3 linked regions of the Lonchura striata genome follow. The protein of the gene in region 3 purifies or fractionates together with the protein of the main gene of each other region. This does not show direct contact. Links are inferred from orthologs where the notes say so. Each region holds a gene or a part of one and is shown on either strand. Other genes may lie near its edges. The genes, in order: CCDC12, DHX8 and CRNKL1.

What was found.
Region 1: the proteins of CRNKL1 (region 3) and CCDC12 purify together in Homo sapiens (co-immunoprecipitation; 3 studies listed by BioGRID and IntAct, with this or other methods). This does not show direct contact. The link is inferred for Lonchura striata from reciprocal best matches to the Homo sapiens genes CRNKL1 and CCDC12.
Region 2: the proteins of CRNKL1 (region 3) and DHX8 purify together in Homo sapiens (affinity purification with mass spectrometry; 3 studies listed by BioGRID and IntAct, counting the BioPlex papers as one, with this or other methods). This does not show direct contact. The link is inferred for Lonchura striata from reciprocal best matches to the Homo sapiens genes CRNKL1 and DHX8.

What each region holds. Positions count from the first base shown.
Region 1 is NC_134603.1:155,997,901-156,008,170, reverse strand, and holds the start of CCDC12 (coiled-coil domain-containing protein 12), read left to right. Parts: upstream 1-6,348; 5' UTR 6,349-6,369; coding exon 6,370-6,495; intron 6,496-10,270.
Region 2 is NC_134627.1:6,041,257-6,051,380, reverse strand, and holds the start of DHX8 (ATP-dependent RNA helicase DHX8), read left to right. Parts: upstream 1-6,013; 5' UTR 6,014-6,060; coding exon 6,061-6,172; intron 6,173-6,484; coding exon 6,485-6,570; intron 6,571-7,158; coding exon 7,159-7,231; intron 7,232-7,560; coding exon 7,561-7,646; intron 7,647-8,245; coding exon 8,246-8,355; intron 8,356-8,443; coding exon 8,444-8,755; intron 8,756-9,037; coding exon 9,038-9,182; intron 9,183-9,660; coding exon 9,661-9,864; intron 9,865-10,124. Other genes in the region: NBR1 (next to BRCA1 gene 1 protein), read left to right, coding at 1-55, 656-1,013, 1,330-1,427, 1,969-2,038, 2,745-2,850, 3,236-3,409.
Region 3 is NC_134605.1:28,350,991-28,360,153, forward strand, and holds the start of CRNKL1 (crooked neck-like protein 1), read left to right. Parts: upstream 1-5,501; 5' UTR 5,502-5,587; coding exon 5,588-5,635; intron 5,636-5,826; coding exon 5,827-5,979; intron 5,980-6,500; coding exon 6,501-6,592; intron 6,593-6,692; coding exon 6,693-6,851; intron 6,852-7,198; coding exon 7,199-7,365; intron 7,366-7,864; coding exon 7,865-8,043; intron 8,044-8,667; coding exon 8,668-8,838; intron 8,839-9,163. Other genes in the region: CFAP61 (cilia- and flagella-associated protein 61), read right to left, coding at 346-422, 2,454-2,604, 3,245-3,387. UniProt on the Homo sapiens protein: Involved in pre-mRNA splicing process. As a component of the minor spliceosome, involved in the splicing of U12-type introns in pre-mRNAs.

The sequences.
Region 1 (10,270 bases), on a different chromosome or scaffold from region 3:
CACAAACCAAGTAGCCACTGACCAATCAGAACCTTGAACCGCAGAACCTGCGAAGCCTCTGACCAATCAGTGCCCAGCACTGCATCACCTGTGGACTCGCTGACCAATCAGCAGCCAGAGCCGCAAAAACCTGTGGAGGTGCTGAGCCAATCAGAGCCCAGCACAGCACAACCTGTGGTACTCACCGGCCAATCAGCTCGCAGAGCACCTGTCCCTGCAGCCAATCAGGGCACAGCGGGCCCTGCCCGGCCCAGCTGTGGTTGTGCAATGGGGACAGCGGTGACAGCGGGGACAGAAGTGACAGCAGGGGACCCACCCAGCGCCCCGGGGGCACCCGCAGCCCTGGGCACCCCAGGGTGGCACCTTCAGGTGTCCCACATCCCTGAGCACCCCGTGGGCCACCTCGGCGTCACCCACAGTCCTGGGCACCACACGTGGCACCTCGGCATCACCCCAGTTCCTGAGCACCCCAACAGGGCACCTTTGGGTGCCCCGTGTCCCTCAGCACCCCCGGGCTGCACCTTGGGGTCACACAGAGCCCCGAGCACCCCAGGGTGGCACCTTTAGTGTCACCCCCATCCCTGAGCACCCCAACGGGGCACTCTGGGGTCACACAGAGCCCCGAGCACCCCAGGGTGGCACCTTTAGTGTCACCCCCATCCCTGAGCACCCCAGGGTGGCACCTTTAGTGTCACCCCATCCCTGAGCACCCCAGCGGGCCACTTTGGGGTCACACAGAGCCCCGAGCACCCCAGGGTGGCGCCACATGTGTCACCCCATCCCTGAGCACCCCAGGGTGGCACCGTTAGTGTCACCCCATCCCTGAGCACCCCAACGGGGCGCTTTGGGGTCACACAGAGCCCCGAGCACCCCAGGGTGGCACCACATGTGTCACCCCATCTCTGAGCACCCCAACGGGGCGCTTTGGGGTCACACAGAGCCCCGAGCACCCCAGGGTGGCACCTTTAGTGTCACCCCATCCCTGAGCACCCTAGGGTGCCACCTTTAGGGTCCCTCTCGCCCCCGAGCACCCAGCGCTGCCCTTTGGGCTCGCTCACAGCCCTGAGCGCTGCACTGCGCCAATTTGGGGTCCCTGTGCACCCCACTGTGGCACCCTGGGGACCCCCACACCCTGATGCAGCACCTTGGGGGTCACCCCAATCCCTGAGCACCCCGAATCCCCCACATCCCGCGGCGTCCCCCCATTCCCACGGTGACCGTCCCCGCTTTTCCGGGATCCCGGCGCTCCGCCAGGCACCGCCTCGACGGGGGTGGCGGGGGGGGGACACCCCAAAATCCGCCTCCCCCGCCCTTCCCGCTCCACGCCGAGCGTCCCCCGGGCCGGGGGTGTCCCCCGGTCCCCAGGGCCGGTACCTGTCCCCGCGGGTGGCCGTGGCCATCCATGGCCCCGCAGCCGTGGGAGCGGCGCCGGCGCAGCGGGGCCGGAACGGGGTGCGGGGGGTGCTCAGGATGGGGGCCCCCCTTTTTTTTTTGTCACCGCTGTCGCTTGTGCAAAGCCACCGAAAAAGCCCCAGAGCCAGGAAATGCCAAGTCACCCGCGGCCCCGGCGGCGCTTCCTGCCCCGCCGCGGCCCCGCTCGGGGACCCCGCGGTGCCACCGGCGCCCCGCGGCGAGGAGCTGCGCTGCTTCATCCCGGAATTCCCGGCAAATCCAACCCCCAAATCCCGCCCGAGTGTTGAGCTCGCTCCCAAGTTCCCGGAGCGCCCACCGGGAGCTGCACCCCCAAAGTCCCGGTGCGCCCTCCCCGGAGCCGGTGCCCCGGAATTCCCGGTGCGCCCTCCCCGGAATTCCCGGTGCGCCCTCCCCGGAATTCCCGGTGCCCCGGAATTCCCGGTGCGTTCTCCCCGGAATTCCCGGTGCGCCCTCCCCGGAGCCGGTGCCCCGGAATTCCCGGTGCGCCCTCCCCGGAATTCCCGGTGCGCCCTCCCCGGAGCCGGTGCCCCGGAATTCCCGGTGCGTTCTCCCCGGAATTCCCGGTGCGCCCACCTGGAGCTGCTGTTCCAAAATCGCCGGGGCACCCGCGCGGAGCTGCATCCCGGAATTCCCGCCGTGCCCACCGGAGCGGCGCTCCCCGAGCTGCCGGTGTGCCCCGGTGCCGGTGGCGGTGCCACCCGCGGAGCTGTCGCAGCCGGTTCCCGGCTGGCAGAGCCTGTTCGGCGGCTTCGGGGCTCGGCCGGCGCGGAGCCGCCTGGGAGCGCCGGGAATCCGAACCGGGAATGCCAGACCGGGAAGGGGAACCGGGAATGCCCAGCAGGGAATCTGAACCGGGAATGCCAGACCGGGAATGCGAACCGGGAATGCCACACCGGGAAGGGGAACCGGGAATGCCCAGCAGGGAATCTGAACCGGGAATGCCAGACCGGGAATGGGAACCGGGAATGCCACACCGGGAAGGGGAACCGGGAATGCCCAGCAGGGAATCTGAACTGGGAATGCCAGACCGGGAAGGGGAACCGGGAATGCCCAGCAGGGAATCCGAACCGGGAATGCCAGACCGGGAAAGGGAACCGGGAATGCCACACCGGGAAGGGGAACCGGGAATGCCCAGCAGGGAATCTGAACTGGGAATGCCAGACCGGGAAGGGGAACCGGGAATGCCCAGCAGGGAATCCGAACCGGGAATGCCAGACCGGGAAAGGGAACCGGGAATGCCCAGCTGGGAATAAGAACTGGGAATGCCCAGCCGGGAATGCCAGACCAGGAATGCCAGACCTGGATGCCCAGCCAGGAATGCCAGACCAGGAATGCCAGACCAGGAATGCCCGGCCAGGAATGCCAGACTGGGAATGCCCAGCCGGGAATGTGAACCGGGAATGCCAGACCAGGAATAAGAACCGGGAATGCCCAGCCGGGAATGCCCAGCCAGGAATGCCCAGCCAGGAATTCAGACCGGGAATGCCCAGCTGGGAGTGCCAGACCGGGAATGCGAACCGGAAATCCAAACTGGGAATGCCCAGCCAGGAATTTGGACCGGGAATGGCCAGCCCGGAATGCCAGACCAGGGATGCCAGACTGGGAATGCCAGACTGGGAATGCCAGACCAGGGATGCCAGACCAGGAATGCCCAGACCAGGGATGCCAGACTGGAATGCCAGACTGGGAATGCCAGACTGGGAACGCCGCCCTTCCGCCGGGAGCCCCCAAAAAGTGACGGTGACAAAGCCGGGGGGATGTCACCCCCTGCACTGAGCGCCGCGGGTGACACCGGGTGACCCCGCGGGGCTGGCACTGGGGTCACGCTCCCGCCACCCCTGGGAGGGGTGGCACAGCACAGCCACCCCTGGGGACAGCCCTGTCCCCTGTCCCCTGTCCCCTGTCCCCTGCCGGGCCGGTGACAACAGCTCTGTCCTGCTTTGAAGCCACCGGAGACACCGCGGCCATGCCCGGGCCACCGGCTGGGGGTGGCAACAGGGACACAACCATCGAGTGACACTGCCATGGAGTGACACTGCCATCGAGTGACACCGCCATGGAGTGACATCGCCATCGAGGGGAGGCTGCCATGGAGGGGACATCGCCATTGAGTGACACCGCCATTGAGGGGACACCACCATTGAGGGGACACCGCCATGGAGGGACACCGCCATTAAGGGGACACCGCCATTAAGGGGACACCGCCATCAAGGGGACACCGCCATTGAGTGACACCGCCATTGAGGGGACACTGCCATCGAGGGGACACCGCCATTGAGGGACACCGCCATCGAGGGGACACCGCCATTGAGGGACACTGCCATCGAGGGGACATCACCATCGAGGGGACACCGCCATTGAGGGGACACTGCCATCGAGGGGACACCGCCATTGAGGGACACCGCCATCGAGGGGACACCGCCATGGAGGGGACACTGCCATTGAGGGGACACCGCCATTGAGTGACACCGCCATTGAGGGGACACTGCCATCGAGGGGACACTGCCATTGAGGGACACTGCCATCGAGGGGACATCACCATCGAGGGGACACCGCCATGGAGGGGACACCGCCATGGAGTGACACCACCATGGAGGGGACACTGCCATCGAGGGGACATTGCCATCGAGGGGACACCGCCATTGAGGGGACATTGACATCGAGTGACACTTGGAAGGGACACTGCCATGGAGTGACACCGCCATCGAGGGGACACCGCCATGGAGTGATACTGCATCGAGTGACACTGCCATTGAGTGACACTGCCATTGAGGGGACACTGCCACCGAGGGGACACTGCCATGGAGGGGACACCGCCACCAAGGGGACACTACCACCAAGGGGACACTGCCATGGAGGGGACACTGCCATGGAGGGGACACCGCCACCGAGGGGACACCGCCATCGAGTGACACCGCCATGGAGGGGACACCGCCATCGAGGGGACACTTGGAGGGGACACTGCCATGGAGTGACACCACCACCGAGGGGACACCGCCATGGAGTGACACTGCCATGGAGGGGACACCGCCATCACCTGGGCCATGTCCCCCCAGCCTTGTCCTCACCAGGGCCTTGGGGACACGGCTGTGGCACAGGCCACAGGGTTTTGCTCTGTGTCCTGGCTGGGAGGTGACACCGGGCTCTGGCCACGTCCCTGGTGCCTCAGAGGTGACACGGCCACCCCACTGGTGTGGCACGGCCAGCAGGACACCCGGACAAGTGGCACCTGTCCCCACACAAGCGTGGGTGACACGGGTCCCCTGTGAGTGCCCTGACAGCACGATGGGACCCTGCAGGGCCGTCAGCCCCTGGTGACACCGCACGTGTCCCCACGGACACGCCACAGTGTGACATGTGTCCCCTGCCACCACACACCCCCCTGACGGATGGCACCGGTCCCCATCCATGTCCCCTCTGTGACCACACACAGCTGGAGGGTGGCACCTGTCCCCTGGACACAGCTCAGCAATGGCACCTGTCCCCAGAGTGCCACGGCCACCTCGATGGTGTGGCACCTGTCCCCACCCAACCACGGCCACCTCAGTGCCCCCATGGCCACCCGGACAATGTGGCACCTGTCCCCAGAGTGCCACGGCCACCCCGATGCAGCGGCACCTGTCCCCGTGTCACCCCCCAGCACGTGGCCCTGTCCCCCCAAAGCAGGGGTGACCCCGTTTTGGGGTGCCGAGGAGGGTCCCAGGTGACATCGCGGGGCCAGCCGAGCTGACAGGCCCCATGGGTGTCCCCAGCCCGGGCCACAGCGGGGTTTTGGGGGAGCAGCTTCACCCCAAAACCCACCAGGGTGGGTGACAAGGGGGTGGTGACACTTGGGTGCCACCTCTCCGGCAGGACCCGCCCCCACCCGGGGTAATTCAGGACAAAACGACCACGAGCGACTTTTGGGGTGGCGCGGGGGGGGGTCCCCACCTAGGGACCCCCTTGGGGACATCCCCCAGGACTGGCAGAGGGTGCCGGGGGTCCCCAAAACCGGCCCCCGCCCGTCCGAGCCCGCTGTCCCCGCCCTGTCGCCGCTCCAATGTCACCTGCGCCGGGCGGTGGCGACACGCGGACCCCAAAAATCCTCCCGGGGGGACCCCCCAAACCCCCCTGGGGAGCGGCGAGAGGGGCGGGGGGACCCCAAATTCACCGCGGGATGGGCGGGTGGGGGGTGGTCCCCGCGGGATGCGCTGTCCCCAAGGCGGTGGGGGGGTGTCACGGGGGGCTGGGTGGCTTTGGGGACACCGCGCAGGTGACAACGGCGTGCGGGGGGGACACGGGGGTGGGTCCGGGGTGTGACAGCGCAGGGGGGGATGCGACAATGGGGGACAGGCGGGGATGGGGACACGGGGGCGGGGGGGTGTCCCCGGGGGTGGCGGCGGCGGTGGCCGTGGCTCACCTTGGCGAAGTAGAGCATCCAGAGCTCGCAGAGCCGCTCCCGGGAAGAAGCCATGCCCGGGGCCGGGACCGAGCGGCGGCTCCGCCCCGCCCCGAGCCCCCCCACCCCCGGCACCTCCCCCAGGTGTGTGTGTGGGGGGGGCGGGGACTCCCCTCCACCTGCTGCGGGCCCTTCCCCACCCTCGGCTTTCCCTTCCCTATTCCCGCATCCCCGCGCGCTCATTAATGGGGTGAGCAAGGCGAAGCCGCACCCCGCCCCAAATAATTAGCGCTGATTAGCGCAGCTGAGCCCCGCTCGCACTCGGAGGTGCCCTGCACGAACCGAACCCGACGCTTTCGCCTCGTTTTCCCCTTTAATCTCCTTTTAAAGCATCCCCAAACATTTAATGGGGAATTTTTCACCTTCCCCCCCCCCCCACCGCCACCCCAATCGCCCCCAATCGATTGCTCGCATCGATACGCTCGGCGCTCGGCACGCCCGGCCTGCCGCGCATGCGCGCCGCGCGCTGTACGGCAGCGGGGGACGCGGGGTGCAAGATGGCGGCGCCCGGCGGCGGCATGGACGGCGCGGAGGAGGCCGAGGGGTTCGTTCTGGGGCGGCTGGAGGCGGAGGCGCTGAAGCGGCGGGAGCGGCTGAAGGCGCTGAGGCAGCGGACGCTGCAGGTCGGGCCGGGCCGGGCGCTGCCAGGGCGGGGGAAGCGCTCGGAGGGGCCCCGCGGTGGGGCCGAGGCCGCGGAAGGCGCCGTGGGTGCCGCGGCCGGGCGGAGGGGCCCAGGGGAATTCTGAGAATTTTGGGATATTTGGGGTCCTCGGGTCTTTTGGGGTGTCAGAGGGGCCCCAGGTGGGTCGCAGTTGTTTGGGGTGTGGGGGTGTTCAGGACATCCACGCGGATCCCGAGTTTTTTGGGATGTGGGATGCGGGTAGTGTGGAATGGGGCTGGGAATGTTGGGGGTGGCTCTGGGATTTGGGATGCAGAAGGTTTGGAATGGGGCTGAGGATTTTGGGGTCCCAGAGGGGCTGGAATGGGGCTGGGAATGTTGGAGAGGAATGAGAACATCTCACGCAGATCCCGAGTTTTTTGAGATTTGGGATGCAGGCAGTGTGGAATGGGGTTGGGAATGTTGGGGGTGGGTGTGGGGATTTGGGATGCAGAAGGTTTGGAATGGGGCTGAGGATTTTGGGGTCCCAGAGGGGCTGGAATGGGGCTGGGAATGTTGGGGGTGGCTCTGGGATTTGGGATGCAGAAGGTTTGGAATGGGGCTGAGGATTTTGGGGCTCCCGAGGGTCTGGAATGGGGCTGGGAATGTTGGAGAGGAATGAGAACATCCCATGTGGATCCCGAGTTTTTTGGGATGTGGGATGCAGGCAGTCTGGAATGGGGCTGGGAATGTTGGGGGTGGGTGTGGGATTTGGGATGCAGAAGGTTTGGAATGGGGCTGAGGATTTTGGTGTCCCAGAGGGGCAGGGAATGTTGGAGGGGAATCAGAACATCCCACACGGATCCGTAGTTTTTTGGGATCCTCTCTTCTTTGGGTGGGATGGCATTTGAGGATTTTGGGGTCCCAAAGGGACTGGGGGTGTCACATCCCAGACGGATCCTGAGTTATTTGGGATGGGGCAGGAAGGGATTTGAGGATTTTGGGGTCCCACAGGGGCTGGAGATGTCCAAGGGTCCCTCATGGATCCTGAGTTTTTTGGGATGTGGTGGGACAGAGGATCGGCTCTTCCCTGCCCTCACCCCCTCCATGTGCAGCCTCTGGGATTTTTGGGGTGCTGCTCCCAGGGCAGGGTGGAATTCCCAATCCCACAGGGATTGAAATCCCGTGGCTGTGGGACCCGGATCAGTGCTGGCAATGGTTGGACTCCATCTCCAAGGCTTTTCCAACCTCGAAAATTCCAGGATTCCAGAACTCTTTTCCCATCACCAGCGGAGGCAAAATCTTGGGAAAAACCCCATTCCAAAAACTTTCCTTCTTCTCCTTGAACAGGATCTCCCCGTTTCCTGCCAGGGAGGGTTAATTCCTAAAAAAAACCTGGGATTGGCTTTTCCTCAATCTCCCCTGCCATTCCCATCTCCATGGCAATGTGCACGGAGATTTTCCCTAATTCCCTCTTTTCATCCCTCTCCATTAAAAAAAAAGGATTAAAGGCTCCTTGGGATCCCAAACCTCATCCCGGGCTCCTTTCATCTCCTGGAATTCCAGCTGGATTTGTCCTTTTTTTCCGGAGCTTTGGGATGGGATCCGTGGAAATGAGGAGTGACACGGAGCCTCTTTGGGATGCTGTGCCAGAATTCCCCTTGGGAATTCTCTTTCATGGGATGCTTTGGTGGGAAGGACCTTCAAGGTCATCCCGTTCCATGGGCAGGGAATTCCAAGCAGCACTTTGGTTTTTAGTGGAGAATTCCTGGTTTTCCAAGGATGGAAAGCTGAGAGGAGGAAAAAAAGAGTGGGAAAAGGAAAAATGGTAGGAAAGAAAAAGGATGGGAAATAAATTTTTCCAACTGATCGGATCCAGTATCATTCCAGAGGAATGGAGGACAATCCCAAGCTCTTGGAAAAGAGCTGGGATATAAAGGAAAACTTTTCCCACCCTGCTGGAAGATTCTGGGAGAGCTCAGCCATTCCTGGCCTTTGGGGAGAAATTTGGGAATTCTGTTGTGGTGTGGAAAAGGTTTGGGTTGAAATTCCTGCTTTATCAAACCTTGGAGAATCCCAAAATCCCGGATTTCTTTTGGGAAAGAGCCTGAAAGTTCCATGGGCAGGGAATTCCAGTCAGCTGCTGTGGAGCTCTTTGGTTTATGGAAAATTCCTGGTTTTCCAAGGATGGAAAGCTGAGGGGGGAAGAAAAGGGTGGGGAAAAATGGTGGGAAAGAAAAAGGGTGGGAAATAAATTTTTCTTTTGGGAAGAAACCTTAAACCTCACCCAGTTCCATGGGCAGGGAACCCAGAACATTCCAGGCCTGAAATCCATAGGGAAGCAAACCTGAGGCTGCGATCCCGGCAGGAATTCCAGGTTTTAATGGGAATAAACCCTGGATATTCCAGGAGGAGCCGCCCCAGGATGATCCCGAGCTGGTGAAAATTCCAGCAGTTTTTGTGGAGCAGCTCAAGGTCCTTGGGAAGCTTTTCCTGCTTTTTTTTTGGGAGCTGTTAAAGGCTTTTATCCTTTTCCTTTATTCCCCGTTGGTTCCGTTCCCTTTGACAGCTCATCCCTTTGTTTTCCTGCCTGAATTCCAGAAATCCAGGGAATGCAAATGATCCCAGCTTCAGATCTCTGGGAAACGTTTCAAGGGCAATGGATTTTCACTGGAAAAAAAATCCTTGGACGTCCAGGACTTCCTAAAAATTAGGGAGAAGCTGAAGGAAGGAAAATATCTCAGAAATATCTGGATTTTCCCTGTTTCTTGCATCCCTTGTGTTAAGGAATTTTGCTTTTCCTGGAGTTTTCCTGTCACTCTGGTGTCTCGTGGGTGAAATTTTGGGTTGTTCACGGAGAAACCTGGATTGTGTCCTGCCTGTGGAAAAATCCAGTTTTTCTGGGATTCTCTTAGGGTTGGAGGCACCAAAAATAGGGAAAAAGGGAATTTCTTCTGTCTGCTCCTTCAGTTTCCAGATCAGATTCCCTCAAGGAAAATTCTCCAAAAATATTTTGGTGTAAAAAATAACGGGAGAGGAGAATAAATCAATGGAATAAGGATGTTCCTGCTTGAAAATTCCATGGAAAAATGGGAAGCTGCTCCTTTGTCTGCAGTGCTCAGATTCCCTAGGGAATCCAGCAGAGGCTGAGCTGTGGGAAGGTTTCTTTGTGGGAATATATTCCAGGATTATCCAGAGGATTTAAGTTAAAATCTGGGAATTCCTGCTTTGGGATTCCCACTTTTCCTTTCTTCCCATGGAAAGTAGGGGATGAAGGACTTTTTCCCATAATTTAAGGAAAAAATTCCTTGCTGGGACAATATTTGGGAATTCCCATTGGGCACATCCTAGATTTCCAGTTTTTCCCCTTTTTATGTGAAATTCTGGGATCTGATGGCTCGAAGTTCCACTCTGAGGGAATTCCCAGGAAAATTCCCTGGGAATTCATCTTTTAAGGTCTATGGGGGTGCTGCTGATATTCCCAAAGGATCCCTCAGTAAAATCCAGGTGGGATCGCTGGCTCAGATTCCCAAAATTCCTAATCCAAGACCTCCACAGCTCCTTCTCCTGCCTTTTTATCCCCAAATCCTTAAAAAACCAGAGCTTTGCCGTGGTTTTTTTTGGGAAGGAAGAGTCTCCCATCGCTCCGGAGCATTCCCTGTGTTGTTCCTCGAGCTGGAAAAATTCCTTTGGCTGCATCCCAAGCTTTTGTTCCCGGCTGGATTGGCTCCAGAGCCACATCCCAGCTCCTCCACACCTTCCCGGCGGGAGGAAGGGCCGGCACTGCTCCTTTCCGCTGC
Region 2 (10,124 bases), on a different chromosome or scaffold from region 3:
TCCAAAAAGGAAGCAAAGATTCATCAGTTAGAACCAGTGACAGAAAATTCATGTGGTAAGTAAAATGGGCTTGAATGTAAGATAAAGCTGTAAAAAAATCATGTGTAAGACCTGACACTGTTCTAGGAAAACTGATCTTCATTAGATGAGGAGAATTGTTAGGTTGTCCCAGTTGTGAGAATCATTACATCAGAAAATCGGTGTCAGTACTTTAACAAGCAGCTAGTTTAACAGCTGCTTTTTAAATACATGAAATTGAGACCAAAGGGTTCCCCTTGGGTATTCAGATAAGTGCTCATAAGTTATACATGGTGCCTACATATTTTTTACATGGAGCTTGCAGTGTTTCTGACCATGTTTCTAATGTGTGTCACTTAGGAGCTGAAAACTACAGTTTAAATCCTATGTGTAGCTCTTACTTCAGTTTTTACTATGAGCATTAATACCAGCAGTATATTTGCAAAGGCTTAACATTAAGATCTATTACACTTTCACACTACACCCTCCCCACAACAGGGAAAATGACACCATTAATGCAGCAGCTAAGATTTACAGTTGTTTCTAAATACTTGTCTCTTACAGCTAGGAGAATTGTGTCTCTGCTGTTGTCCATACAAAATGGACAATGGTAATACCTCACTTTTTTTCCTACTAGGGGACCTTCTACTGTCTAATGAGAGCACAAGCCCCCGTAGTGGTATTAGCAATTGTGATGAAGAGGAAGATGATAAGGATGATGTTCAGAGTCAGTGCTCCTCTGCTTCCTCAGAGGAATACATCATTATTCTCCCTGAGTGCTTTGACACCAGTCGGCCATTGGGTGACTCCATGTATAGTTCAGCTCTTTCTCAGCCTGGTTTGGAAAAGACAGGAGAACCTGAAACAGTAGCAGAGAACGCAGAAGGGGGAAGCCAGCCACAGATCCAGAGGGTCAGTGATACAGTGACAACTTCCCAAATGGCTGCAGTACCATTAACCCCAGCAGATGTGGACAGCTTACCCCAGGCACAAAGGTATGACTTGGGGACAAGAACAAAATGGTGATGCTGGTATTGCTGTAGAGTCTGCAAGGTCTAGTGCTTTGCAAGTAGGAATTGTAACAAAAATTTTATCATATACTGAGTTAAATGTTCTTAAATCCTGCAATTTTATAGAACTTGATTTAGGCTCTGTATTTTAGGTTCTATATTTTTAACTCACTGATTTAGGTGAGTGCAAGAGAGGGAGAGATGGGAGCATGTGAAGTTTTTTCTTTTTTCTGTTATCGTGACTTATTTATGTGTGTACATGTGGAAAAAAAGTAGTGATGTTTTTGCCTTATGTTCTCAGGAATCTTTCATCTCTTCAGAATTCTATCTTCCAAGAATCAAACACACCAGCTTCAGAGCGTATCTCTTCTGCTTCTCATGATCACATACAAAGAGAAGGTATTGACAGTATTTAAATGGTGCAGACTATTGCTATCATCTATTCCTTATGCCTAGTATTGAATTTGATGTCTCCTTTCTTTTGAGGAGAGCAGAAATCTATCAAGTAAAGATTTTAGTTTTTCTCTAGGTGTTGAACTTTTGCTATGTGGATGTTGCAAATAAAGAAATAATTGACTTTGTAGATCAGTTAAGAGCATCTATTATGAGAAATGGTAAGAAGATACTCAAAAGTACATACAGGCATCTGGAAAAATCCCTTGCTATGGAATTGATGAGCTATGTATTTAAGCTGCTGTTACAGTCACTGAGACAGCATTTCCTCTTGTGTTAAACACCACTGATGAATCAGTCATATGGTTCTGAAAATCTTCTGACTGCTTTCACTGCAGTGAGAATCCTGGATACCTGGTCTACATAACTAAACTTAGAGTATTACTGTTGTACTGAGACACACTTTTTTCTGTTTATGTATGTGTGGCATTTCTCCAGCTTAATTGTCATTAACTGGACATGTTGACATTTTGTCTTCCTCTTCCAGAACCCAGTGGTGAAGATACTCATGGGCCAGGATCTTCTGCATTTCTCACTAAGTTCACAGAATACCCGAGGTAATGAAGGTGAAGCTCTGACTTCACAAACACTATTTTAGACTGAGAACAGCTTAATTAGACACCTAGGAAAAAGCTCTGGCCTACAGATTTCATATAGTCACTAATTTAAGAGAGGCCTCCCTTCTTAAAGCAAACATGCTATGTTTTCACAAGATCTTGGTTTCTATTTGGGCACAAATCAAAAGGATGCAGAACTGGCAAGCCAAAGTTAATGAAGAGCTTGAGTTGAATGCTTCTAAAATTCTGTGGGTTTTTTTTCTAGAAAATCTCAGCATTCTTAGGATGATGATTTTACAAGCTAGCTATAAAGTAGTCTTAAAATACTGAGATTGGAGAGGTAAGTCAAAATGTTGAGTAGAATATGAAGTAATTTAAGTATTCATAGAAAACAAATAGAAGTTAGCCTACCCTGAATGGATGTGTCAGTGCACAGCTTTTATGTAGGTGTGTTCTCTTCTAGATGAGAGCACTGAACTCTTTACAAAAGGTCCCTTCATGGAAAGCATACACCCACAATTCAATAAGAGGTGTCAAGAAAAAGGAATGAGCTTCTTGCACAGCTCACTTCCCAAACACTGCTGATTCCTTTGGATCACGGGCTGTTGTCTCCAACAGTCTTTGCCTCAACAGGCAGCAATTTGCCTTTCACTGATACAAACCCTTGGCTTTACTGACCCTAAAGCAGCACCTGGTCTCCTCACAGGTACCCTCAAGGCAGCAGCATTGCAGGAGAACTCGTGAAAGGAGCTTTGTCAGTTGCTGCTTCTGCCTACAAAGCATTATTTGCTGGACCACCCATTATTGAACAGGTGAATGTCTTTCTGTGTGCTGTGTGAGTACCATAGAATGATAACCTTCAATTTACAGGTGTATGTTTTTTAAGTGTATCAATATTCTATATTGGAGTTAATGTAAGAGTAAAATGTTAAGTTTGATGGTGTCTCTTTGAGGTTTGCTTCTCTCAGCAGACTGGGAAATCCTTGCCCTAGGGATGAAAGCATGCCTCTTGTAGCATTATGTAAGAGTAATACCTCACTTTCATAAGTGAGCAGTGAAAGGGATTATAAATAGCTTAAATGGGGCCAGAAGAGCCTCTGTGCCTCAGTTTGATTCTAGTATAATGCAGGGCTGCTAGTTCAAATGGCAAAAAATAAATTAACTTTTTAAACTAACCTTACTCCCTTTTGTTTTCAGCAGCCTGCAGCTCCAGAAGAGCAGACTGCCTCTCTGCTGTCCAGTCTGTGTGAGATGGGATTCTGTGACAGGCAGTTAAACCTGCAGCTGCTGAAGAAACACAACAATAACATGATTGAAGTGGTGACTGAATTGCTTCAGATCAGTAACAGAGACTGGTGCAGTAGGTGCTAAAGCTGCCTGGTGGAGAGAGGAATATTCTTCATTGAGTAAACTCTGATTAAAGATAGCGAGAGTAGCAGGCTGCTCCTCAGCTGCTCTGTTTGGAGGTTTGACTTAAAGCTTCAGCTTTTCTTTGAGCATTTGACTTCTTTTTCTTTTTACCCTCATGGAAATGTCAAACAATCCTTGTGGCATCTCTTGAAATGGATACCAGAATTTCAGTTATGATTTGGACCTCTTAGTTAAATGAGTAGTCTTCAAATCTCTGATTTCAGATCAAATCCTTTTACCAGGTAATCATGTAGAATTAAATGTTGTACCCAGATGAGAACTTCCCATTTTATTGTGTATATACTTTTTATTTTAGGCAGCTGGAAATTTGTCGGCTTAATTAGCTTTGGAATAGAAACTGGTGTAAAATGCTGCTCTAAAATGTAGTCCTGCTTAATTTACAAGAGATGCCTGCAACTAGGAGGTTGTTTCTTCTGAGGATTTAGTAACTGGTTTTCCAATGTTTGATAGTAAAGTGACAAATTTAAATCTTAAAAATTATTCTAAGAAAAAGAAGTTGCTCATAAAAGAAAGCCATCTTGAATCATCAAATGACTTTTGAAAAGTCTAAAAGTGTAACTGCAGTTCAACTGATGAATTCCAGTAAAGTTGTTGCTTCTTGTAGCAGAATGAAGCAGGAGAATTACCACCAGCAATTGAACCTCTAATGATAGTGCACACCAGATCCCTAATAGTAGAAGTATAACCTACATAAAACATTTTGTTAAAAATGGAGTGTCAGGGTAGGAAAGCATTTTCTAGGAATCTTTACAGGCTCTTAGTAAAAATATAAAAAATTTGACCATTATCTTTTTTCACAATAGTGCAAACATTTTACTCTGTTAATACCACATTAAAAAAATGCAAGAATGTGTAGGAACCCAGACCTGAACTGGAGTACAAATTTTGGAAATGTTTAGGAATGGAAAGAATGGGTGAAGCAGGGATCACATAACTTTACATTAGAGTTTGAAAAATGCATTAACTTAAGCACTTTCAAATGTACAGTCTCCTCTGATGGTTTTAGCTGGTCCTGTGTTTCCATAGCCACATCTGTAGAATTCATTTTCTTATAAGATTTTTAGATACCCAGATTTAATTTGGAAATCTAAGAATTTCCTTCTAAATATGCTGAGAGATTTGATTCTAAAGAATGACATAAATGAGCACCAGCCACTGCTGTGCAGTGGGGTATCCAGATAACTCCTCAGAGTTCAGTCCCTCAGCAGGTGACAGTGTTGGCTATGTTCTTACTTTCGAGTAAACATTTTTTCCTTGCTGCAGTAAGAGACCATTGATTCTGAAGTATTTTATATTGCTCCTGCTTCAAACTAGTATTCCGTTTTGTCACAGTGTCAGTATTGTGCTGACCAGGTTATCAATAATTTTTAAAAAGACTTTAGTACCCATAGAGATAAAATGCCATTGAAATAGTTGAAGAAAACAAATGTATCATACCACTTCTGTTTTAAACCTATTTTTATAGATTGTGGAAGATATACTCTTAAATGTTTATTTTGAAATACAGTAGAAGTATTTTGCAGTGTTTCCCATCTCTCTGTACACCAGTACAACTATGTGCTGTGGACCAGTTAAAGATCCTTCTGTAACTTTCCACCTTCGGTGTGTTGTTTTGAGTATCTTTTTACTAATGCCAGCTGTAGAGCAAGGAGGAGGACGGACAGGGGTGAAATGCAGAAGCTGATGAGACTTTGAAGCACAGTGTGGTTTTATATTTGCTGGGGTCTGTCAGGCCCAGCAGGACCCACGTTTGCCATGTGTACCTTTGTATTTGGGATGTTCATATGTTCTATAAAGTACAAAACTAAAGCATTTGAAGTGGAGCACTTCACTGCAGATTGAAGTGGCAGGTGTGAGATGCTGTTCTCTTTAGGCTCCTTTTTCCTAGAGTTTAGATGCTGTATGCTCAGGCTTAAGATAGCTATATTTCTGTTGGCTTTGTATATTTTGCTAATGGATGCATGATATAATTTATAATATATTCTACAGAGCAGATGTGACCTCTGTGTCTCATTTCGGGCGAGCACAGGCGCTGGGGTGGGGTTCGTAGCCGAGCTCCTGCCGCGGGCGGCGGGCGCGGCAGCCCGGCCGCTCCTCGCCGCTGCCTGGGGCGCACTCAGCTCCTCGGGCCGGGGCTTCGGCCGTGCCCGGCGGGGTCGGGGACAGAAGCGGAGCCACAAGTCCCGGGCTGGCTCTCCCCCCGCCGTTCTGCTCCGTACCCGGCGTGCCCCGAACGCGACACTCGGGCTACCGCAGCTCGCCGGCCTTCGCTGGGGACGGAAGCGCCTTTCCGCTTTGGTTTAGGGAAAGCCTTTGCACGGCCGCGCCGATTCGCCCAGCAAGGCTCGGTGCCCAGCAAATCCCGCCCGCTGGCCCGGCACGGCTCGGTCTCATCATCCCGGCAGGGCCCGCTCCGCTGTCCCGGCCCCGCTTCCGGCCCGGCCCCGCTTCCGGCCCCGCTTCCGGCCCCGGTCCCGGCCCCACTTCCGGCCCCACTTCCGGCCCCGCCCCGCTGTCCCGGCCCCGCTTCCGGCCCCGCCCCGCTGTCCCGGCCCCGCTTCCGGCGCGTCCCGGAAGCGGCCGCGGCGGCCATGGCGGAGCTGGCGGCGGCCGAGGAGCTCGCCAAGCTCGAGTACCTGTCGCTGGTGTCCAAGGTCTGCACCGAGCTCGACAACCACCTGGGCATCAACGACAAGGACCTGGGTGAGCGGGGCGGGCGCGGCGAGCTCCGCGCACGGACAGGGCGGGCTTGCTCAGGGCCGCAGCAGCCCTTTCCGCGCGGCCGGGTGCGTTTTGTGAAGGTGCTTTTCGTTAAAAAACAGTATTTTTCTTAAAAAAAACCAAAACCTGTGAGCCTGAGGGAACGCTGCGATGTGGGCTGCCGGGGAGAGCCGAGGAGCAGCTCCCCGGGCCCGGATGGTCCCGCACCTCCAGAGCGGCTTCTGCCACACGTGCAGTCCTTACTCTGCTTTTTTACGTTCTTGCTTCAGTTTACTTTGTGCTTTTTCCTCACAGCCGAGTTTGTCATAAGTCTTGCCGAGAAAAATACCACGTTTGACACATTTAAAGCAATTCTTCTGAAGAATGGTGCTGAGTTCACTGTAAGTGGCGCCTGAACCTTGTTTATGTGTTATTCTTGTTGTGCCATATTTTATAGAGCTTTCCGATTTAAAGAGAGTTATGAGCAGTTACTATTGGTTTTCTTCAATTGGAAAACTGCATACTAAATAGCTTCTGATATTCCTGTCTCCTCTGCCTTCCCCTTCCTCGTATTTTTAAAAAATTTTGTAGTCTTTGAAAAGCCTCTTCCTGAGGACTCAAGCTGCTTATTGTTGTGTTGAGCATATAAAATACGGAAGAAACAACTTTTCATGAAGGCAGATATCATAAGTCTTCTTAGGATGCTTATATGCTGTATTTATTGATGTCTCAGGAATAATTGTGCTTGGATTGAATAGTTGATTAAAATTATTAACAGAAAAAGACAATTAGGATAATTTCATCTAAGTGACTTGAGTTCAACTTACGCCTTTTTAGGGCATACACAAAGCCCAGTGATAGTTTCTAAAAATCAACCTGCATCTTCAGAATTGAGCATATTTTGTTCTGCGAATAAACCCCCACTCGTGCCTTGTAATAATGAAAGTGTTGCAGTCATTTCCTGAAGTATTTTACTGATTTTTTTTCAGGATTCCCTCATCAGTAACTTGCTCCGTCTCATCCAGACGATGCGGCCTCCACCAAAACCATCCACGAGCAAAGGTAGGTGGGGTGAGACTGGTGCAGCTCCTGCTGTAGTCTTGTAAGGCAAATCCTCTTGCACCATGCTTGCTGCTGCTGTTATTCTGAGGGTGCTGCTCAGAGTGGTCAGTCTTTCAAATATTCACTAATAATCAGAATTTTCTCTGAAGGAAGGCAACACGGTATTCCTTGAATTGAATCTCTGTAAAAGCTGTATCAGCCTTTGCGTTCAGACAAAAATTAAACTTTATATTCAATTACAGAAAAACGAAGAGTGAATTGTTGTAGCAGTTCTGAGTTTTGTGTTTCATTGTGCTTTTTTTTTTCTTCTTTTTGAATCTCAAAATTAGAGGCAGTTGTCAAACCCAAATCCGAGAAAGAAAAGTTGAGGGAATTGTATCCAGCCCTTTGCAGGCCAGACAATCCCAACATCAGGGTAAGGTTGTAATTTCAGATTTCTTTTGTGACTGTGTGAAAACTTTTTTTTTTTTTCCCCCAGTCAGTTTCAACCTTTTTTCTCTGTCTAATGCATGAATAAATGTGAACTTTGAGAAATAAAATACGGAAGAGGTAGAAGGCTGGTGTTACTGCACATTGTTGCAAAGAATAGGTGTTAGCAATTGCCATGTTCATACTGTTTTGCAAAATATGTGGAGGATGAGACTCTTGTGGCATGAAATTTGTAGCCTGGCCTTCCTTACATAATGTTCAAAGTAATGATGTGTTGCAAACTAATTAAAAATGTTGTATATTCAGATGCTATGAGGGACTTGCATTTTGTATTTCTGTAACAATCTGAGGCATTGAGATGGAACTTTCTATTGTATAAAAGCAGAATTGTCTCAATATTTTGGCCATACAGGGAGAGTGCTTTATTATTTTCTTTCTTTATCACATATTGAGTCTGATCTTTTTTTATCTTGCATTCTTTCTAAATAGGTACACATATGATGATAATTCTGTAGATTAATTCTTTGTGACAATCTTTTTATCAGCCCTTTTGCAGAAAGGAGCATCAGTTTTTTGTTCTTGCAGAATATGCTGGATGAAGATGATGTGAAAGTGGCAGCTGATGCCCTGAAAGAACTGGAAGCTCTGATGCCCAGTGCTGACAGGCAGGACAAGCAGAGGGACAGCGACCATCGGTAGGAGTCTTGGGGAAGGGGGAAGGTCTTGGCTGCTCTCCTTGCCTGAGGTGAAATCCACTGCAGAGATCTAAATTTGGTTTGTTAGGGCGAAGAAAAGGAAGAGGAGCCGAAGTCGTAGCAGGGACAGGAAACGAAGGCACAGATCTCGCTCCAGGTCCCGTTCCAGGACTTGGGACAGGAACAGGGGAAAATCCAGGTACCGGTCGAGGAGCAGAAGTTGGAGTCCCAGTAAGGACCGCAGGGATCGGGAGAAGTACCTTGAAAAGAGCCATGAGAGGTGGAGAGACAAGCACATAGACCGGCCACCGGCTGAGGAGCCGTCCATCGGGGACATCTACAACGGCAAAGTCACAAGCATAATGCAGTTCGGGTGCTTTGTGCAGCTGGAAGGACTAAGGTACCCTTGGCTGTTTACTGCAGATCTGTTTCAGCTCAGGTCTCTTTTCTGCTGGTACCTTAAAGATGTGATGAAGCTACCAGCAGTTGTTCTGGGCTTTGAAGGGCTGTTTCAGGAAAGTGAGTTTAACAGTAGAGAATTAGAAAATTCTTGTTACTAAAACTAGTTTGTGGACATACACAATCTGTTGACAGCAACATATTTTAATGTAGTTTCTGAGTGATCTGAAGGGCTGTCAGAGCAGTAGTGTGCCCCTCTCATGCCCCTCTGTTTCACTCCTAGGAAGCGCTGGGAAGGCTTGGTGCACATCTCAGAGCTGCGAAGAGAAGGACGGGTTGCCAATGTTGCTGATGTTGTGAGCAAAGGACAAAGAGTGAAAGTCAAAGTGTTATCTTTTACTGGATCCAAAACAAGCCTGAGCATGAAGGTACAGAGGTGCTAAAATTCTTAAAATGATTCCTCTTCTAGCTATTTTTCACTCTTTTTGATGAAAATTAATACATAGCCATTCAGTTGGGAGTTAAAAACTGAATTACTGTTCTGTATTTAAATGATCTATTACTTTTTACACATTTTCTCTAGTTTTGATGTAGTGTTCCTAACAATTTCTTGTCTTGATATGATATCAAAGAGACAAGGCAAGGCAAACCTCAAGCTGTTGCTGTTTGTCTTCCTTTTTCAGTAGGAGAGAAACTTTTAATTTTAAACGAAATCACTACTATTGCCAAGACAGAGTAGAGTGTTCCATGCCTGAGGATGTTCTTACCTGGCAGTACCAGGTGAAAAAAACCAAAAAGCTAAAAACCAGCATTTTCTGTGAACAGGATGTTACTGCCACTAGAAATCACCAGAGTTAATAGATGAGAAATGCAGAGCTGATTGATTAATCAATCCATCTGATGTAGGATGTTGATCAAGACACTGGGGAAGACTTGAACCCAAACCGTAGAAGGAATCTAGTTGGAGAAACCAACGAAGAAACCTCCATGAGGAACCCGGACAGACCCAGTCACCTGTCCCTGGTGAGCGCCCCCGAGGTGGAGGACGACAGCCTGGAGCGGAAACGCCTCACCCGCATCTCTGACCCAGAGAAGTGGGAGATAAAACAGGTCTGTGCTGCATTCAGGGAAATAAGATAAAGGTGATAAAGTTGCCAGGGAGTTTAATGAGCTAAAATACAGCTCCTGGATTAATTGATTGTGTAACTTACTCATTAACTCACAATTGCTGGCTTGTGATCTGGGATTGTTTAGTTGCTATTTGGAGTAACAGAAGGAGTGTTTGGTCAGAGGATGGGTGAGTTATGGGGAGGATACAGGATACAGGACCATTCCTTTGTTCCTGTTTTACAGGAATGGGGTTAGAACTG
Region 3 (9,163 bases):
TTTTTTTAATATATAATTTTTTTTTTTTCCTCCAGTGTCTAGAACCTTCCTTCATAAGTCCACATGGCTCAACAATTAAAACATTTCTGACAAACAATATAATGTGAAATTTATCTGGGTAATTTGACTAGTTTTTCCTACCTTATTTCTTTCAAATTTTCCAATCTTTAAATTTCAAACATCCTCTTTTATAGCAGTTTCACAGTGGTGAAATATTTAAGATATCAGGCCTCTTCTGGCAGATATTTGACAGGGCACCTGGATGAGACTTCTTGACTTGACAAACGTGATTTGACAGCAGGAGAGGGCATGCGCCTCACCACCCAAGGCTACACAGGAACTCACCTAACAATTTCTTGGGAACATCCTGCTGCATAATCTTCCTTTGCCACAAAGAGATGCATGAAGAGTGTGTTCAAAGGCTACAAAACAAGGAATGAAAGCCTACACACCATGCAGCTCATGTTAATTCCATCAGCTCAAGTATTAGTACACACATACATTTCCAATATACATGATTTGCACTCAAGGAGCAGCAAAATATACATAAGTGACTTCAAAGCATGTGTGGGTAAAGTTACGTGATTAAAGTGCTTTATATAATTTTGTGCTTCTGCAACATTTTTTCTTTCTACTCAGTTTACTATTGTTTGACTGCAATACATGCTGTACATTTCATATTGAACAGTATTAATTCTTGACTAACAACATCCAACCACATTAAACACTCAACATGTGTCTAACAAAGACATTCTTTTAAGGTTAAAAGAAAAACCACAAACCGAAAGCTCACCTGCTTCTAATAATCCTAAAGTGGTTTTTCTTTAAAGGTAGTAAGAAAAATTACATATTTTAACATGACATCATTAGACACACAAATACCAGGCAAAAACAGAGCAGACTAACAGACACCTTTATCTTGTGCACCTCCACTAAACATGGAAAACCCCTGTGCTGGAATGGCAAAGGCTATTAAATCATCTGTTCTCTAGCATATTAATTACAAGTCCTGGGTCAGAAAAGGTCTGCTTGAAGATAAAAATAATTTAAATGTAAAACCTGAGATCTTTTGAATAGTATAATATTCAATTAAAACACCACAGCTAGAGGCACCAATAAACTTCAGCAATTTAAGAGCAAGAATGATTTCAATAGAGGCTGCAGTACATGGACCAGCATCAGGACAACAAGCTATTCTAACAAACATCTAAAGACATCCCTAAAAATCAGGCAGTTTGTTTTTTTAGAAGCAAAGGGAAGAAATAAAAAAATATATTACTGTTGAGGTCCGAGAGGACATCAAGTATACCAGACGTGGACTGTAACTGTTTCTGGATAGTGCTGGTAACCAGACAATCCAGTACAGCATCTTCACTTATCCCTTTCTGCACAATTCAACTCCCACTTCAGACCCTGAAATTATTTCTGTACTCTAGGAAAAAGACAGGTCAACTATACTTCACAGAATTCCTACATTCAGATGACCTCAGTTTTGAAAAGCACACCTGCATGGATTTAACCTACAGTTTACCAATGACATCTCATCAAGTTATACGCCAGAAAATGTTCAGCTTTCTGCCAATGCAGAAGCATAAAACACTGACTCTTCTACACCTCCTTTAGCAAATAAATTCCATTCTAGAAAAATAGAATGCTGCCCGTTTAAAGATATTTTTCACTACTGGTTCTGAACAGTAATTCATTTTTCTTTTCTCTGCAGACCCCTACACCAGATCCCACAGAGCCACCACGCAGCCTGAGGGAGATCATAGCACAGCAGAACCCACAGAGAAGCTGCAGCCTGAATGAAGTGGCTGTCCACAAAATGCTGCTCAAGGGACAAAGTCCATTACTAGGAAATCACAGGTCCTTTCTGCACACTCTCTTTGGCTGTACTGGTGGTGTTTCCTTTAAGAGCACACATTTTCAAACACTTTGTCAGTTTACCTTCAAGCCATTACTTAACACTACAGAAGACCATAGGCAACTGATGAACAAAATGCCCAGAGATAACTGCAGCACTGCCAACACCTCTTAATGGCACATGCTGCACACCTTATGAGTGCTTGGGGTTTAACATTTTCTGTATTTTTTCAACAATTCCACAATCTAGTTCCCAGCTGGACTTGGTGATGTGGGAGCATTTGAGTGCTAAACTTGTAAGGGCCTGTTTCTGTAGATCCTACCAGAAAGTCACAAGCTCACCGAAGGAGCCCATGTGAAAGTCACCAGCAGCCAGCAAGACACAGAGCAGTAGTCTCCCCACCAGCACCGAAAAAGTTCTCTGCAGAACTAAGGTTCCCCTTGTCAGCACGAGGGTTTGACAAGGACTCCATCACCTTCTGTATCCTGAATGCCTCAAATCTACCAGAAACAGATCATAGATGCCTATGTGTATTTTCCATACCTGAACCTTAAATGAAAACTCAACTAAAATCACACTATTTACTTACAGTGCATTTATTGTTAGTGTAGTTTTCATGCAGGAATGGTTCCCATTCAGCCTGATCAGTGATATTCCAATTCGGATAGTCCAGAAAGGCAGCATGAGCTATAACCTCATTCTTCTCATTGCAGAGTGTTAAAGCAAGATTTGATAATTCTCTATGAAAATAATTTAATTTTGCACAAGTTAAAGAAACTCCACATAGAAAAGTGACTTACTGCAAATTCAGCCTGCTGAACAGCAAAATTAGCCATGTTCAAGAGGGTTCCCAGGATCAGGCCTGAATTAAACTTCACCATCCACATGCTGACTTGGAATTGTTACTTCAGTTCCACACATTTGTGCTCTAACATCATAAAAATTCAGGAGGATTTTCAAATCCTCATATTAGTAAATTTGAGATGCAAGACTTAAACATTCCCTTCAAAACATTTGTATGTGTCTTCACACATGTCTTTTTCCCCAAACAGCTGTTATGCGTGATTTTTGCTATTAAGGGGGAAAACATAAGTGACCCACCAGTATCTATCACACAGCCTGTCTGCTGACAGCTTTTTTCAACAGCATTTCTTCTGATCTTTTACAAAAAGAAGCTAGTACAGAATTAAACCTTCTCCATCATGGCAGAGACCCAGGTTTGCACAGTCATCATGTGACAGACATGAAAGTAGATTTTCTTTCAATTTTTAGAAGCAGCACAAAAAATCATTATGCCACACCATGTCAAGGGTCAGAATGTTTTCTGCCATTTTAAGTGTAATTTTCTGAAAGGTGACAACCTAAAACACCATTACTTACAAAAGGTAAGTGACATCAATCCTTCCAAAGAGGTCTTCTGTGACAGGTCTGAAGAGGCTGATAATGCCCGAGACATCATGTGACTTTGTCCTTCTGGCAGTGACCACATCTGTATTTCCCCTTGATGAAGTTACTGTGGCCATCCCACAAGCTGCACTGAGAACGAAGGAAAACACTTCTGGCTCCAGCCATCCACTGCCATCCCCTGCCCAACACAGTCACTTCAGGTGGGTTTTCATAAAAACTCTAAATTGGGGCAGTTTGTATGGATTTGGTGCCTGGCTCCTGCATACCACCACACAGACAGGCACTGCCTGTTCGTTGCACACCTGAAATGCAGTAGGCAATTACTCCTATGGTCTGGATCCTACAGAGGAAATTAATTGTTTTAATAGGCTACAGCTGCTTTCCTATTTATTCATTAGCATGCTAACCAGCTCATCACCAAGAACTTCAAACTCAAAGGCCTTCAGTGGGAGGCTCAGCTGTGGGCAGTCAGGGGAAGCAGGCTGGAGACTCAGCTGCAAACAACCAGGTACACAATGTTCCAATTAAACAGCAGTTTCACATGAGTTCACTGTATTTTGTCCAAAACTCCTTCTCGGATTTCTTTTGAGATCAACAGTAAGGCTTAAATTTCTGAAGGAATTCAAAGTTCTGTGGCTATTCAAAGTTCTACTGCTTTCTTACACAGAAAAAAAAAAAAAAAAAAAAGTTGTTTTTTTTTTAATGGCTCCACATTGAGAAAATGTGCCAGGCACAGCTGATATGTTGATCCGTCCAGCAACTTTAGAACACACCGGGGCATCAGATCCTCAAACCACTTGTGACCATTCCCTCGGGTCTAACACCCTTTAGTTCTGTGTCTCTGTGTCTCCGCTCAGTACTGCAGCCTGCTGTGACCCAGTCAACAATCAAGCACGTGAAATAAAGCGACCAAACAATGGCTTCCCGCAATTTCTTAAAATTCATATGCAAAATATAGCAGTACTAACTTAAAAAAAAAAAAAAAATCTAAGCCAACACACCTGGACCAGCAGAGCAATTCCACCACTCTGCCAAACACAACAGCCACTTCCAACAGTGACCCCAAATGCAAATGTGATGCTCAGTTATCAAGCACCTCAATTCCTAACTAAAATGAAAAACCAAAAGAAATTCGGACTTTCACACCTTTTAAATACAGAGTTACATGCACTCCTACATCTTTCACATTCCAGCGTCAACGCAGGTCCTGAAATTAACCTGAAGGAACACATCCTCTGCAAACATGCGTCAATTTTAAAAATGAAAACTAACACGAACTTTAAAGGGCTATTCATCGGCTGAGGTTTAGCGCACTAAGATGACTTCAACTGAGGAAAACTGCTACGTTTTCAGTCAATTTTTAAGTTAACCCCCCCCCCCCCAAAAAAAAAAAAAAATACACGCATCTCCACCGGCTCCCCAAAACGCTCCCACAGCCAGAGAAAGCAGTAAAAATGTACCATTTTCGTAAGGAAATACGCTGCTCCTACAGTAACTTCTGCACTCGTCCCGCGGAGCAGGATCCCAGAGACACCCAGCAGAACAAGAAGAGGAGGGCGTTCCCCTCCCGCACTCAGAGCACTTCCCTCCCGCCTCCTCACACAAACGCTCTCTTGAAGCATAAGACTCCACGCGGTTTCTTTGGTGTTTGTAGCCCACATACCTCGGGAGGGCTGCGAAGAGCTGTGGAAGGCTACTGCGGGAGGCTCTTGAGGGGCACCCCTGGTGACTTGGGGCGGGGCGGAGCCGGACCGAGTCGGACCCGGGGCGGTACGGCGGGGGCTGGACACGGGGGCTGGACACCGGGGCTGGACACCGGGGCTGGACACGGGGGTTGGACACCGGGGTTGGACACCGGGGCTGGACACCGGGGCTGGACACGGGGGTTGGACACCGGGGCTGGACACCGGGGCTGGACACGCCCGAGGCGGCCTCAGGACCCCCGGCCGCGAGCCCCCTCAGGCACGGTGGCCACGCCCACGCACGCGGACAGACCTACACCGCCGAGCCGCCAGGGGGCGCCCCGCCGAGCGCGTGCATCGCCCGGCCAGCAGCGCGCGCACTCACCTGCCCTGTCCCCGGCGCTGCAGAGCCAAGTGGCCACGGAGCGCCCCAAGGACAGGAAAGACAGCGCAGATGGAACAGCTGAGCCCACGGACGAGACAGACCGAGCGGTCCTACGGACGGAACGGACAATCCCACCGCCCTCCCGCCGCCGACCGGGACGCGTCGCTGTTGCCGCGGCAACGACGCTCGGGCGGTGCTGCGTGAGGTCAGGGGTGCCGGGGCGGGGCCGGCGCGCGCAGCGGCGGAAAAATGGCGTCTACGGCAGCGGGGAAGCAGCGCATCCCCAAAGTGGCGAAGGTGGGTGGCGGGGAGGGCGGCGGGGACCCCCCGGGACCCCTCGATACCCATTCGTCTCGGGCTTCGCGTCCCGGCGGGCTCCGACCCCGCCCGCGCCGGGCACCGCGCTTCGCGAGGCGCCGGAGGAAATTGATCGTGCCGGTACTGCGTTAAGAAATGTGAGCCGAGCCCCCCTTGTCCTTACCTTGCAGGTGAAAAACAAGGCACCCGCCGAAGTTCAGATCACAGCGGAGCAGCTTCTGAGAGAGGCAAAGGAGAGGGAACTCGAACTTCTCCCACCGCCTCCGCAGCAGAAGATCACAGATGTTGAAGAGCTAAATGACTATAAACTCCGGAAGAGGAAGGTACAGTTAAAAAGAAAAAAAAACCGGTTTAATCTTGACACTCATATAAAGCACTAAAATTCCACTGTTTTTAACTTAAACAAGATGTAGTCCCTATTCCTTGTGGGCTTTCCAGTTGAACACAAATTCTTTAAAACCTTTTTTCATGCTACTCTTTAGCAGAACCTGCAATTTACAGATGTGTTGCTTGAAACTGTGCCTGTGTTCAGAACACTGAAAGGGTAATTATTTACACAATTAATAGGAGTTTTCTTCATTACCAGCAGTATCTGGCCAGCCACTATAAAAATATGAACAAAGACAGTAAATGACACTACAGTAATGCTGAGTTATAAATCTTCTGTTGAAAGAATTGCTTTGCTCATGCAGATTTACCCATGGTTTTGCTTGGCTTTTTGCTTTGAAAGTACCTAAGCTAAGCAAGCATATTCCTGATGGTTATTATAATACCCCATAAGCCATTTTTGATGTGAATTGTCTGCACAAGGATTTCTGACTTACAGATAAAATTTTCTCCTCAGACTTTTGAAGATAACATAAGAAAGAACAGGACTGTTATCAGTAACTGGATAAAGTACGCACAATGGGAGGAAAGCCTGAAGGAAATACAGAGGTAATGATGATGTGACTGTAGGCATATCTTAAGGGCGTTTTTAGACACACACTAAAGTCTAGGAGGCACATTTTACCTGCCCTGTACTCATGTTTTCCAGAGCCCGTTCCATTTACGAGCGTGCTCTGGATGTGGACTACAGGAACGTCACCCTCTGGCTGAAATATGCCGAGATGGAGATGAAGAACCGCCAGGTCAACCATGCCCGGAACATCTGGGACCGGGCCATCACCACCCTGCCTAGGGTGAACCAGTTCTGGTATGGTGGCCAAGCAGTGAGATCCCCTTCTAGCCCCAAAGACCCCCACAGTATTTGGCTGTTCTGGGGTTATACAGATTATCCTGCTTCTCTTCAGGCTGGTCTGAAAAAAATGGAGGAAAGCTGAAGTTTTGGAAAGGTTTTGTACTTTTTAAGTGGTAAGAGCCTTGGGAGAGAAGGGTGTTTGTGTGCCTGGATACTGCCAGTCACTGCTGTGCTTACAGACATTTCTGGGGTGGGAGGAAATAGGTGAGGGGAGCTCAGGGATACTCTTAGGAAGCACTCCAGAAATCCCTGAATGGATATGTTCCCCATGTGATTGCAGAAACTCAATCTCCTTTCTCCAGGTACAAGTACACATACATGGAGGAGATGCTGGGGAATGTCGCTGGGTCACGCCAGGTGTTTGAACGGTGGATGGAGTGGCAGCCAGAGGAGCAAGCCTGGCATTCCTACATCAACTTTGAGCTCAGATACAAGGAGGTGGACAGAGCACGAGGCATTTATGAGAGATATATCCTTTTCAGAGTCTTGTGACTCCTGCCTGAGTTAAGGTCTCCATTCTTTATTTCCTTCCTAAATATTCCATGTCCAGCAACGTCCCTGTACTCCTTTTCACTGTGGTGTGCTGGGAATGACCCACCACCCTGGGAACCAGCAGGAGGTGTTAAAAGCGTGTTTAGGGAAAGCCTCCAGATTCAGTGGAGTGGCTGCAGGTTGTACCACAACAGTGTCTGTTTAACTGCACTGCTCATGCACCCAGCTCTTTTGTAGCTATCGTTTGTTTCTCCTCAGATATTCCCTGACCCTTATCCTTTTTTAAGTTCACAGTAAGGCACAAAACCTTTGCATGCTTATACCTGTCAGTGTCTTCTTCCTAGCTGCATTTATTGTTCCCCACATGTACCATCCTGGTAGGTGTTTGATGAAGTCCTTGACCCAGTAGTCCCTGGGAAGAACACAGCTGGGGATGTGCCACTCGGCCAGCACTGTTTCTTTAACAATAGCTGTACTTGTCCTCGTTCACCCTGACGTGAAGAACTGGATCAAATACGCGCACTTCGAGGAGAAGCACAGCTACTTTGCCCACGCCAGAAAGGTGTATGAGAGGGCAGTGGAGTTCTTCGGGGAGGAGCACATGGATGAGCACTTGTATGTGGCATTTGCTAAGTTTGAGGAGAACCAGAAAGAAGTAAGTTTTTCTTGATCTGAGTCATGCCAGTGTTTCTCCTTGAATATCAAACTAAAGGCATTTAACATTCACTGCAGTACTTGCAGTTCTCAGCCCCTCATGACTGTAGTCTGAATTAGGGAGACAGTTTTTTGCTCACCTCTAGTTGCCTTTTGGTGCCATCAATAAAATGTGTTCTAAGGGAGATCTGCCAAGCCCAGGACCAACAGCATTGGCTCAAACATGTATCCTCAGACTGGAGGGGTTCTGAGAGGTTATGGGCCTGCATGATAGAAAACTGGATTGGTCTAGATGTTTTTCACAGTTTCTAAGGTTCCCAGGCTGTTATGAAATTGAAGACATTCTGTGAACCCCAAACCACAACCTCTTAAATTGGTTTAAATATTCTAAACCTGTAAATGAATAAGAGATGATGGGGGCTGGCATTTTCAGATTTATTTTTTCCCCCTCAGAGTTTACTCTTCAGGGAGATCTGTGTTAGTCCTCTTTTAAAACAATTGCTTATGTTGGAATGTCTCACCATTCTGTATTCTATTAAATATTGCCAAAAGCTCATTGAAATGCTGTCAGGGAGGACAGAAACTGCTTTGTAAATATTTATGAAATTATATTTAATATTTTTAGTTTGAAAGAGTGAGGGTTATCTACAAGTATGCCTTGGATAGAATTCCAAAGCAGGACGCCCAGAATCTCTTCAAGAATTACACCATCTTTGAGAAGAAGTTTGGAGACAGGAGGGGAATTGAGGACATCATTGTCAGCAAGAGGAGATTTCAGTATGAAGAGGAGGTGAAGGTATGTAGGACAGGTACCCTCCAGGCTCACTGTACAGCCAGCTGGTGTTTAAGGGACACGAGTATTTTGTGATATCAAGGCTGATGAGTTTCAAGTTACCCTTGAAAGTCAGTCCAAAAAAACACCAAGGGAATATTCATTTTAGAGACAGAATTCCATCCCTGGGGAAGAGAATGGTATCTAAATTCACTGCTTTTTTTGTTTCTGCTTTCTAATCTAGATTGTGCAGGTGAGGGTTTTGGATTGAACTCAAGGCTTGGTACCCTTAAGGATAATGCAGTTTAGCTTGTGGTTACTACTTAGGGAATATCCATTATAGGACACC